Tribolium castaneum: one gene and its partner. The protein of the gene in region 2 interacts with the protein of the main gene of each other region in a biochemical or structural test. Links are inferred from orthologs where the notes say so. Each region holds a gene or a part of one and is shown on either strand. Other genes may lie near its edges.

Evidence for each region.
Region 1: of the proteins of csw (region 2) and hyx, one has a biochemical effect on the other in vitro, tested with the Homo sapiens proteins (2 studies listed by BioGRID and IntAct). The link is inferred for Tribolium castaneum from reciprocal best matches to the Homo sapiens genes PTPN11 and CDC73.

The regions. Positions count from the first base shown.
Region 1 is NC_087400.1:8,949,452-8,955,781, reverse strand, and holds the start of hyx (parafibromin), read left to right. Parts: upstream 1-2,693; 5' UTR 2,694-2,734; coding exon 2,735-2,865; intron 2,866-2,949; coding exon 2,950-3,175; intron 3,176-3,228; coding exon 3,229-3,374; intron 3,375-3,428; coding exon 3,429-3,642; intron 3,643-6,330.
Region 2 is NC_087398.1:136,679-143,129, reverse strand, and holds the start of csw (tyrosine-protein phosphatase non-receptor type 11), read left to right. Parts: upstream 1-2,648; 5' UTR 2,649-2,866; coding exon 2,867-2,880; intron 2,881-3,104; coding exon 3,105-3,227; intron 3,228-3,277; coding exon 3,278-3,472; intron 3,473-6,451. Other genes in the region: Ge-1 (enhancer of mRNA-decapping protein 4), read left to right, coding at 330-495, 675-846, 900-1,050, 1,279-1,502, 1,563-1,746. UniProt on the Homo sapiens protein: Acts downstream of various receptor and cytoplasmic protein tyrosine kinases to participate in the signal transduction from the cell surface to the nucleus. Positively regulates MAPK signal transduction pathway. Dephosphorylates GAB1, ARHGAP35 and EGFR.

The DNA of each region.
Region 1 (6,330 bases), on a different chromosome or scaffold from region 2:
TATATTTAACTGCGGTTTAAATTTTTCTTTACGTCATTTATGTTACGGGAAACTGGGCCTTAATTAATTACTTTGTGTGGATGTATAAAAAATATAAATATTAAATGTTCTTGCAGTGATTTATTATTTAATAAATTTTAGTTTAACTTATACGAATTATAGAAAAATATAGCACTTTCTCTTAAAGTTAGTGGTTCAACAAATTAACAGTTAATGTAATTTATAGTTTCAATGAAAGATCTAATCATTAATAACTATTTTACATTTTTATCTTCCTTATTAAAAAATATTTGGAAAAATGCGACGTTGGTCTTTACATACGAGTACTTTTGAAACAGCCAATATGTAATTTGAGACGTAAAAATACATAGTACAGTAAAACCTCTCAGCAATGGACACCGATGGGGAATCTTTAATTGTCTGTTGTGGAGAGGTGTCTACTAATAAGAAGTGGACAATGTTAATGTAAATAAATATATATTCTTTTTTTAATAAAAATCAAATGGCTGTAACTGTGACAGGAATGAGACAAAGTAACCACATAATTCAAAAAGAGCATCATTTAATCTACCAAACATATCTAATCAAATTTAAATCAGCAGCAAAAGTATATTTTACAGAAAATATTTTACTAGAAGCAGATTTCTTGTATAACTTAAGTATGTATATTAAATAGGTTAAATAAGTTTTGTATAGCTTTAAGTGAATTTAATTCTTTCAATTTTTTGATCATGTTGATAACTGTATAAGATTTATAACAGTCAACGTTTTGATCTTAAATTTTTTGTTATTGTTAGATATATATGTGTTTTAACAAAAAAACTTTTGAAATTAAAACTAAAACATTGAAAAAAATAAACAATTTTTTGTTTATCCACGTCCACGTCCGCTATACAGAGGGTCCGTTGCAGCCAGTTTTTTTTTAAATTATTTTGCAATAGTTTTGATACGTTCCTACAAAATGTCCGTTCTAAAGAGGTGTCCGTTATTCTGAGGTAGGTTTTACTTTTTATTGTACTAAGTAATTTTATCAGAAAGATGAAGCAATAAAAAAATGTACCTATTATTAAATACACTAGAAATATGTATGTTAATTACCATTAAAAAAATAAAAAATTGGAATAAAGTCAAAATAAAATAAATACAAAATGAATACGGAGAATAAGATGTTTTCCTGATTTCGATTTGCTTTTTTAATTCATAATTAGGTATTTATTAACAAAAATGAAGACTATTTTAGAGATTATTATTATAATAAAATAAATTTTAAACGATTTTCAATCTCTTTAATTTTAGGGATTTTAGGAATTACAATAAAAAAAATTAAAAAAAAAATGTTAATTTATTTTGTGGCATCTTAAAATTAGATAAACTAACATTCAACAATTTTGTCTTCGTAATGTGATGTAATGTAAATTCTATAATTTTTAAAGTCTAAAGTATAGTGTTGTTAATACCTAATTGTTTACTTTTTTGTATATTTAGAAACAAAACTTCATATTGAATAAATGCTTTTTGGATAAATATTTTACTTTATAGTTATCTTATGTTAAGACATCTATTTTTTTAAATTTTAATTAATAATTTGTTAATAATTACCCAGATTTTATGGAAGTAACAGTTTTGCTTTAATGTTTTAATAAGTTTTATGTAGTGAGCCACTTTTTCACTTTTTTCAATTACCTATGCAGAGTCAACAGGGTGAGTCAATAGTGGGTTATTTCTGAATTTCTATAAATATGCAACTAATGTTTTCAACTTCATCAAAACGCTGGAAATACGGTTGAAGATACAAAAAAAGATGTAAAGAACAAAGTTCCTTTTGTAGTTTAGTTAAAAATTAACTGTCTGTTACTTGAACACCGGTAAAATAAAACGAATTCGTCGTCAGCATCTTTGAACGTCTTTAGGGTCTAAACCGTTGATAAAGATATGGTCTCGCGGACTCTTTTTAAAGAAAATTTAATTCTCTACAAATTTTTTTGTAACATTTTTCTTATAACTGTGTCCATATTCGTAGCGTCTTGAAAAATACGGGATAAAGCGCAGATAGATTTTAAATTAAAAATTTTTTTTTTCAAGTTTCTTATGAAAATTTTTGTCGTCATTTTTTTTTCAGTGTGTTAAGAAGACAAAACTTAACATTTATGCATGTTTTTCCAAGTACAGACTGATCCAGAAATACTGAGTCTGTTGGCAACACTGAACTTAAATTTTTAAGGATACCAATGGACTACGCTTCCTGTTAACAACAATGTAATGTTCTTATGGGGCTGTACGTCAAATAATTGTCAAAAAAATCGAATTCGGTTACAATTTTGCAAAGTACAAGCATAAATACTTTCAAATCTGTTGCTAACAAACTCAGTATTTCTAGATCAGTCTGTATTTAGTAAATTGGTTAGATTTATTAAATTAATTTAAAACGATTTGATGCCCAGTGGGCATAACGCTCGAAGCGCCCTCATTTTTTCTCCGCCGTACTATTTTTTTGATTTCAGAAAATCCTGCAATTTTTTGTGTTGTTCCGTCTTTTATGTTATAGTCCTTCGTACTTCACACCCACATGGTTTTATTAAATGCTAATTTCATACGAATAAGCCATTTTTCAGTATTTCAATGTTCGATTTATTTTAATAAATGTATGCAACTAATAAAACAGCAGCTTGGGATAAAGTTTTTCAGGTGTCGACTGGTGGCAGCATTGGGCTCAAAAGTAGTGCAGTAAACAAAAATGGCGGACCCTTTGAGTTTGCTTCGCCAATATAATGTGAATAAAAAAGAAATAATCGAACGCGAAGGCCAGATAATATTCGGGGAATTTTCCTGGCCGAAAAATGTGAAAACCAATTATTTAATGTGGGGGTAAGTACCGTTCCAAGCCGCCTCCGCAACCCACCCTTCCATCTGTTGACAAGCTAACCTCAAAATGCAATGAAAAATTTCTAGTTCTGGCAAAGACGGAACCCCTAAGGAATACTACACGTTGGAATGTTTGTTGTTTATTTTGAAAAATGTATCACTGACTCATCCTGTATATGTGCGACAAGCCGCTGCTGAGAATATACCAGTAGTGAGAAGACCTGACAGAAAGGAACTCTTGGCTTATCTAAATGGCGAAACGGCGAGTTGTCCTGCGATTGATAAAAGTGCTCCTCTTGAAATACCCACACAGGTTTGTTTTTTGTGTGAAAACGCGGCTTTTTATGTACAATTATTTCTTTGTAGGTCAAAAGATCTGCTGACTATGAAGGGCCTGAAAGTATTGCAAAAAAGCCCCGGTTTGAGGACTTGCATGTGCAAAAAGTTAGGGAGAAGTTGGCCGCCCGACTCGATGCCCCTAAAGAGGCTTCAGTCACTGTTGATAATATCAAGTAATTTACTTGCTTTCTACAAATGAGAAACAATTTTTAACTGACGATTTCTAGATCATTGTCTGAAGCCATGTCTGTGGAAAAAATTGCAGCGATTAAAGCCAAGCGTTTGGCAAAGAAACGAACCACAATTAAAGGCAATGATGATATAGGGCAAGAGTACGACATTCGGGCTATTCTTGACTTGGATGTGGACTTGACCAAAGACATTATCAGTCGTGAGAGACAGTGGAGGACCAGAACTACAATTCTGCAATCTAATGGCAAGGTAAGAATTTGGCAAATTCTTGCAATTTTAATTTTAAGTTCGATAAACTAATAAGATCTTATCACTAAACTGCATTGTTTTTTATTTTTATTTAGAGGTTTAGTTTAGTCAGATTTCGCAAAACAGAGCCAGAAAATCTTTTTCAAGCATTTTCCAGCCATGAACGCAATTCAAAAATAAGCCGGAAAGACTACCAAATTATGTTGGATGTTATTTTTATACCCGTTTAAGCACTAAAAAGGCAGTTTTTTTGACTAAAAGAATGTTATTTACCCCCCTTTCGGGTATTACGCACATTTTTAAGCGCCAATAGAAAACAATGCTATTTTTTGACTGAAAGTTCAATCCTATTATTTCCAAGTTGTTGTTTGGTGGGAACAAAGAATACTAAATTATGCCGAAAACGACACGATTTGTTATCTTTTTGAGCCTTTGTGACCAGTTGTTAAATCAAAATCTTGTCAAAAATATCGGGTGATTCAAAAATATGTGGCATAATTTTAACCACGAATACCCCTCTAAAATTAAGAATAGATAGGATAGTATTTACTGACCCACACAAAAAATAGGAAAATTACAATTTTTCAGAAATTGGTATGGGAAATGGTTTTTTGAAAACATTTTTGTTACCGTTCATGCGATTATTATGAAATTTTGTATGCCAAGAGACACAAAGACGCTCTATGATATGGTGTAAATGGAAATCTTGTAAAAGCTATACATTTTCGGTGACAAGGGGGCCCTTCCAGTTTTTAGGTGGTAACTCAATTTTTCGGCCTATAAACACGTATTTTTGATATCAAAAATCAAAAGCTCAATTATTTTTTAATAAAAAAGGAACTCTTGCTTCATATCGCCAAAATGTACCGTTCTCGAGTTATTTGGGATTAAACTAAACTCTATACCGCAGTGCAGAATAAAAAAGTATAAATTTTGAGCGTACCATTACCTTGGAAACTGTCTACTAAGAATGACACAGCTGTCATTGCTGTCACATTTGATGTCAATTTCATTTAATCTAAAGTAAAGTTTGATTATTTCTTGATGATAATAGTTAAAGACACGATTATGTGTTGGAAGAAATAATCTATGAGCTAGCGGTAGCCGTCCCGGCATCACAACTTGATCTGATGCCACACCACCAGAAAACGATTATCCCTCCAAATCGCTGTTTTTATCAATATTTCAATACTTGCATTATAAAACTATCTATAACCCAAATAAAGGATTAAAACAATCAGAGACCAAAACACAACCTCAACTGTAACAAATCACAAAATAAAATCTTATCAACTATTTGTAATGCCACTATTGCAATTTTTCTTTAATAGTAAGTTAATTTAATCCACAGGTTGTTGAAACCTGCAAAGAATAACGCACGGTTTAACGTTTATTTACATTTTTAAAAATTACAAGAACTTCAACAACAATAAGCATGAAAGCAACAAATGCCGCTAGCGCGCTAGCTGGCGCCTGTGGTATTTTTCGTAAGCGCGAAAAACAAATCATGAAGTCATAACGATAAAAAAATTCTTTTAGTATTTGGAAATGATGCCCTGATCAGCCCATACTGGTAAATCTAGTTAAAAAAATGATCCAGGTTATTGTTGTTTAAAAAAAGAACATTGACTTCATCATTCATATTTTCTTTGATATTCGCGCTTATGAAAAATAGCACTGGCGCCAATTAGCACGCTGGCGGCATTTGTTGCTTTTGTGCTCATTGTTGTCGAAGCTCTTGTAATTTTCAAAAATGTAAATAAACATTAAGCCGTGCATTATTCTTTTGTGGATCAAATTAACTTCCTATTAAAGAAAAATTGCAACAATGGCATTACAAATAGTTGATAAGATTTTATTTTGTGATTTGTTACAGTTGAGGTTGTGTTTTGGTCTCTGATCGTTTTAATTCTTCATTTGGATTATAGTTTTATAATGCAAGTAGTGAAGTATTGATAAAACCAGCAATTTGGAGTTTATTTCTTCCAACACATAATCATGTCTTTTACTATTATCATCAAGAAATAATCAAAATTTACTTTGGATTAAATGAAATTGACATCAAATGTGACAGCATTGACAGCTGTATCACTCGTAGTGAACTGTTTCCAAGGTAATAGTACGCTCAAAATTTATACTTTTCTATTCTGCAGTGCAGTGTAGAGTTTAGTTTAATCCCAAATAACTAGAGAACGGTACAGTTTGACGACATGAAGCAAGAGTACCTTTTTTATTAAAAAATAATTGGGCTTTTGATTTTTGATATCAAAAATACGTGTTTATAGGCCGAAAAATTGAGTTATCACCTAAAAACTGGAAGGGCCCCCTTGTCACCGGAAATGTATAGCTTTTACAAGATTTCCATTTACACCATATCAAAGAGCGTCTTTGTGTCTCTTGGCATACAAAATTTCATAATAATCGCATGAACGGTAACAAAAATGTTTTCAAAAAACCATTTCCCATACCAATTTCTGAAAAATTGTAATTTTCCTATTTTTTGTGTGGATCAGTAAATACTATCCTATCTATTCTTAATTGTAGAGGGGTGTTCGTGGTTAAAATTATGCCACATATTTTTGAATCACCCGATACATCTTTTCCAAGCTTAATTCTAAACTATGAAATTCCCTTTAAAAGTGAAATTGATTTGTCCTATATTTTAGTCATTTTGTATTAAAATTTTTG
Region 2 (6,451 bases):
TACTTTTTTTTAACCTTTGCCCACACTCTTAATATAAAATGTGAACTTCATGCTACATTCAAATTTCCTTCTATTTTATAACTTTATTTGCGAATAATGTTATTCATTGTTAAACTATACTGTGATATTTTTATTAATTAAATTATCAAACCAAAAATTGAAAGTAGTATCTCACAGTCAGTGGACAAAGTATCGTATTCTCGCTTATAAGGGCTAATATTCACTCGGCTTTGGCTCGTTTTGTAAACTTTATATTGGTGAATAGTAGTCAGTGTTATAAGCTCATTGAATAATGTTCTGATATTCTGTTGTTATTTTGATTTTTTAAGGCACTAGCGGAGTCGCTCAGTTTATCAGTGGCCAATGTGATAACGCCTATTTTAGAAAAATGCTACCGGGATATGATCACGTCGACTTTGGTCCCGTCTTGGGAGAAAGTCTGTGGAAATATGTTCCACCAAATTAACGAAACTTTCACACAGGGCACTAAGGAATGTAAGTGTAGTTTATAATTTTTCCGAGTTGATTTCTATTTTGCACATTTAACAATGCTATTCGACAAGAAAACGACTGCAAAAATTAAAAAAAAAAAACAGTTTTATCATTCAAGCGATGGTCTGTTACTGTTTCCCCACTTGCTATTACACGGCTTGTATTTTAAAACACTATTTTAGATACCGCTTCTGTTGAGCATTATATGGAAAGGCAACGACGGGTTCAAGAGAGAGGTAAGGATCTGATCGTTCAAATGCAATCAGTTTCGGAAAATTTGCAAATGAACACGGATAAGTTAGTCGGAACTTTGTCGTCTGAAATTCACAAACAGTTCAATACATCCATGAAGCAGTAAGTTGTGTTAAGAGAGAGAAAATGTTGTATGTGGCAATTTTCATTTGTAGTACGCAAGAGAATTTATTACAGAGTATGAAGGATTTAATTAGCGAACAAATTAAGTTAGGTTTTAAGAGTCACGCTTCATTTCTGGAAGACAGTGTAATCAACGCGGTGCGGTCTCGAGCTGTGACCCCTTCACCACATGTTGAATCACAAGTATGTTTTAAATATCCGTATTTTTCATCAAAAGGTAGACGGTATTAGGTTTTTTTTTCAAAAAATTATGAAAAGGAATTCTATTTTTTGTTAATTGTATTTGAATAGATTAAATAAAGTTTATTTTGGTTTGTAGGATATTTACTTCCCCCTTTTTGTTACGTCTATTGTGTGTAACGCAGGTCGATGATGTAATGTTTAGCAGAGTTGTACCAATTTAAATTGTAGGTTACTTTGGCACATCTTGATCATCTACTGGCTAAAGAAAGTTACGATGAAGCATTCCAGTTGGCGCTGTCGGCGGAAAATTTGAATTATGTGATTTACGTCTGTGAGAAGGTGGATAGTAATATTCTCTTCCATGGGTCTTCTCCACCGCCTCAGAACTGTATTTTAGCTCTGATACAACAGTTGAGTATGGAATTACACAAAAATACCGAAATCAAATTGAGGTGATTAGATAAATATACCTGTTATTTTTAATTACACGGTATGAATGTTTGTAATTTTAGTTACATAAGGGCTGCTTTGGTTGCTCTAATCCCGGGATACCCCCACACGAGACAGTTTATTCCCAAAGTTTTGAAAGATTTGCTGAAACAATTACAACTTTTTATGACCACAAACCCCTCCTCAAAGTTTATCACCGAGGCAAAACTACTTAAAATGGCTGTAGAAAGCATCTTGGACAAATAGCTGGAACAATTTATTTTATCCGCGTACGTTACTGTTTATTTTAACCCGACTTGTCAAAATTTATTTTGAAAGTATTTTAACTGCTGTGTCGTTATTACTGTGAATAGCAACTTGCTATATTTGATAGGTTGTGTATAATTTTTTTGAAATAAACTTCTCCAATGCTGTAAAAATTAATTTTAACTGGGCACACAAATTTTTGAAGCCGATACTGTTGATTAGTAATGACAGCTGGCAAACTTCACAAAATTAAACTTACTATAATATGTAAGGTTATGTCCTGTCAGATGAAAATTAAAACACAAATTTGAAAGCAGCCAAAATGCAAAAAAAGCCGAGAAATAGCGTTTTTGTTGAGAGGCTCCACAAAGGTTTTGTTTGTACGTGCATAGCGGTAACAATTTACGCCACTTCGGTACTGGCTATGAGGGGCTATCGATACTTTGTTAAAGAGAAGCCCGAATTAAAGCAGAAGCAGCTTGTAGAGCAGGCAAGTCTTCTAGCAGAGGGATCACCGGACACAGCTCCAACCATACGAGCTTAAATTCTTGATGTAGATAGAGTTTTGGTACTGTTTTTACCAGAAACGGTGTAGTTATGTACATTATTTTAATATAATCCATGATTTAAAATATAGAATGTGTGAAAAACTGTAAAACAGCTTCTTGTTTAGGTTTTGTGTAGATAGAAGCAATGGATAAACAATAAACTCTATAAGTTACTTTTTTTATTATCTGAAAAGTACGGAAGTGTGTGAAATGGTTTGAGTAACATACTGTTTTTGCTAATTTATTAATAATTAGTGAATGCATCCTGTTATCAATAACATAGATAATGATAAAGTGTTGTAATAGTGCATTTCCTGGTTTACAAAATCATCGTAGATAGTAAATGCACAAGATTGTTACTTAATTCACATAAGAAGAAAAACCGTAAATTAATAAAATAATTACTGTTTCTTTGAGTTCAGTTCGAGTTTTGGGTCACCTGGTATATAGAAATTGGTTAGAGTTTTTGACCGTCCCTTGTAGATTCAAGATGGTGGCTCACGTAGGAGATAGTTTTTGCAAGAGGTTTATTTTATATTCATAGATTTTGTAACAAAAGTCCAACCAAAAGTATGAGTTCCCGAAGGTAAGCGCTTAATTATCCCGAATGTTAGACAGGACCCACGAAGTTGCCTCGCCAATATCCCACAAGTAAAATTTCTTTGTTGGAGTAATAAGTGCGAGCTGTCAAAAAGTCTTATTTACACAGCAACAGTGGGAATTTGTTTATTTTTTTTTATTGTTGAATAAAGATTTTTCAAGGCCTACAGGGTAGGATGCCTTTCGTTGATAAAAACGGTTTCATTGCAGATGGTTTTGGCCCACAATCAGTGGGATAGAGGCTGAAAGAGTTTTAATGGAAAGAGGAGTTGATTGCAGTTTCTTGGCAAGACCTAGTTCAAATAATCCCGGATCGTTCACGTTATCAGTCAAGTAAGTGATGCCTTTCCACTTTTGTGCCCCCTTGTTTCACGTTTTGGCAGGAGAAATGGAGAGGTTACCCACATTAAAATCCAAAATTCTGGAGACTTTTATGACCTGTATGGCGGCGAGAAATTTGCAACTCTCTCAGAGTTGGTGCAGTATTATATGGAAAATCAGGGGCAACTTAGGGAGAAAAATGGGGAAATTATCGAACTTAAGTATCCCCTGAGCTGTGCCGACCCCACAACTGAGAGGTGAGTCCTATTGTAAACCTTATTTTTGCATAATAATTACATAATTGAGCCATCCAATTAATGGTTTTTGTTACAAGTTATGCAACACAACTGCCACCAGAAAATTTTGCATATATTCTGTAGTGCAAACATTCGCAATAGTTTTCCTTATCTGCGCAATTTTCCAACATACATAAAGATTTATTCTTCTAGACGGTCGTAAACAACGATTTAAAATTCCAGTAAAATTACAAACCGATTATAGCTATTTATACAACTAGTTGCAAAACGAAGGCTTTTTTCGCATTTTTTTTTAGAAATTTACAAATAATAATCTTGCGGATTATTGTCACAAATTTTAGCTTAGAGGATTAATAAAACATCTATTTATCAATATCATGAATAAAATCAGCCGAATTGCTGTTTTTTTAACGCATTTATTCTTGTCTTTGTGTTCGCTTTCGAGAAAGCTATCAAGGTGCAAGTGTCACAAGATTGCAACAGAAAATAAAAGTAGCCTGAATATTTTTCTCACACCATTGATGACGCTCTGTTTTCTATTTTTCTTTGATATGTATCAGTGCGATACTATTATGTTGGCATAATTAATGATTAAGTAGACCTTCATGAGACCGCGTAATATTGTCAATGCAATGTGTGATCCTATCACCTGCATGGAATACTAATCTCTACCATCTCACATATTGTATATGTCGAACGTCACGTCTTTTTCTGCTTTAGGACGTTGAAACAATCATTCTTCATATCCTGTTACTGCACATACTTCTTAAGAATGAGCCTCTTAGTCACACTTTAATATTGCTATAAATTATTCGATCGCTAATGTCCGCCTCGGAAAAGGAAGGAAGTGACAATTAATTAATATACAAAATGTATTCGAGATTTTTTTGCATAGGAGGGTTGAAAGCCGTGATAACATGTATGCAAATTGTGTTTGTAAGCATAAAACACTATAATTTAATTTCCAATTTGACAGAATTCACCTACGTGCCAATATTTAATGAGTTTTAGGCACGTGTATTTCTCGATTCCTTTTTCGAAAAGTCGCGTAGGTTGTATTTATCATAAATGTAATTGATTCATAATTTTACTTGTAACCGTATTTATTACAAACTTTCTCAAACTGTAAATTATTTCACATTATAAAAATCATTAAATTATTACTTCATAAGGAATCAATAAATCCATAGACCGCTTTTAATTTAATGCAGATTATCTGGTATTTTACCTTGACAACTAGTTTTTGTAATAATTTTACATTGTACAGTTTTATGGAAAAACAAAAATTATGTAATACCTTTTTTAAATCAAATTCTTTGATGGTAGACTACTAATTAAATATACGAAACAGCAAGCTGTACAAAACAGTTTAATTAAGGACAAATTTTCAGTGACTAACGCAACAAAATTAATATTAGAAAGGTTTCTCGGTGTAAAATATCGTATACACGATTTGAAATTGTTACTTTATTAACTTATTTATTGGCTTCATAACAATAATTATAATGTATTTTTAGTTTTAATTTATGTATTGACGTACAAAGCATCATCTTATTCAACTCAATCATGGAATGTTTTTTTTAATGATCTAATTAAAATTCAGCTTGTTTGCTAAAATATTTTTTCCTAATTTCAATCAAATACACAAATTGGTAGGTCTCTAGGAATTTTTTTATAATCTTATGCCAAAATACTTCTAATGAAGAAATACCTTTAATAAAAATATGGTAGAAAATTATTTTCGAGATTAATGATTAAAACCAATAGTAAAAAGTAAAATGAAATTAAAAAAAAATTAGAAATTTAGATTTGAGTATCAAGTGTTTTCATTTTGTTTTCACTACAGGAAAGTCTTTACTGTTTCAAGATGGAACTTTTCACAAAGTGTTGAAATATGTACGAATAATGAGGTGTTTTTACAAATTAATTTACTTCTCAAGGTCATGGTTTTACGTTTATTTATTAACATACTCATACTAACAAGATTTAAACATAACTATTGTCAATAGTAAAGTCTTGAAAAATATTACAATGCGTGAAAGGGTGTATAGTAAATTCCACGACCATTTTTGGGTGCTTTATCTTGTGAATCAGACAGTTGGTATGCATTGAACAAATTACAGTTAAAAACCTTCCCAAAAGAATCATTCAAAAAATAGGAATTATATTACTGAATCACCCTTTACATAGCTACACACTGATTTAACGTAATAATAACAGCTCGCGTTTCTATTTAAGGAATTTGTCTTTGTAGTTTTTTTTTATTTCAAAGTTGTGGAATTTTAACATAAATGGGTGAATCATTTGTTTATTAACACTCGTAGAGTAATTGCACGTAAAAAACTGAATAAATAACGTTTTATGACTATTTAAATAAACTTGAACTAATTTAGTGCAGGTGTTTTTCTTTCAAGGCTCATCTTATTATAATTTCACTAAAACAAATTTGATACTCTCCTCCAACCAACGCTGCCACCTACACCTTATGGTTCCTTGGAAGGTCGCAATAATTCTGTCCTCGTTTTATTTTTTCCGAATGAAATTTACTTAGTATGGGACTCATATTCGAATACACAGACTTGTAAAATCGACGAATTTCCGCATCAACTTTTCTAAGTATTTTTATTCACTGCAACGAAAAGCCTTGTGTGAGGTTGCTTCACATTGTCATCGCGTGCCTTGATGATGACATTGAAAAATTATGTGAACTGAATAGTTCCTTCAGGCACCAAAGGAAAAAAATCTTGGAAGAAGAGGTCGCCACGTCTAATTGACTTATAAGGTGGATGCAAAAACACATCCTCTTATGTGTGCAGGACAGAAAGCTGCACTGTGATCCACTTATTCGGGTGTAGGTGTTTTAATACTTTGTAAGCAGGAATAAAAAACGAGCGGATTAAACTGAAATAAGTGTTTTGGCCATTTGGATGGAGGAAGGCCAGACCCAAAGACAAAAAATAGTCGCTACTTGCATTGTTT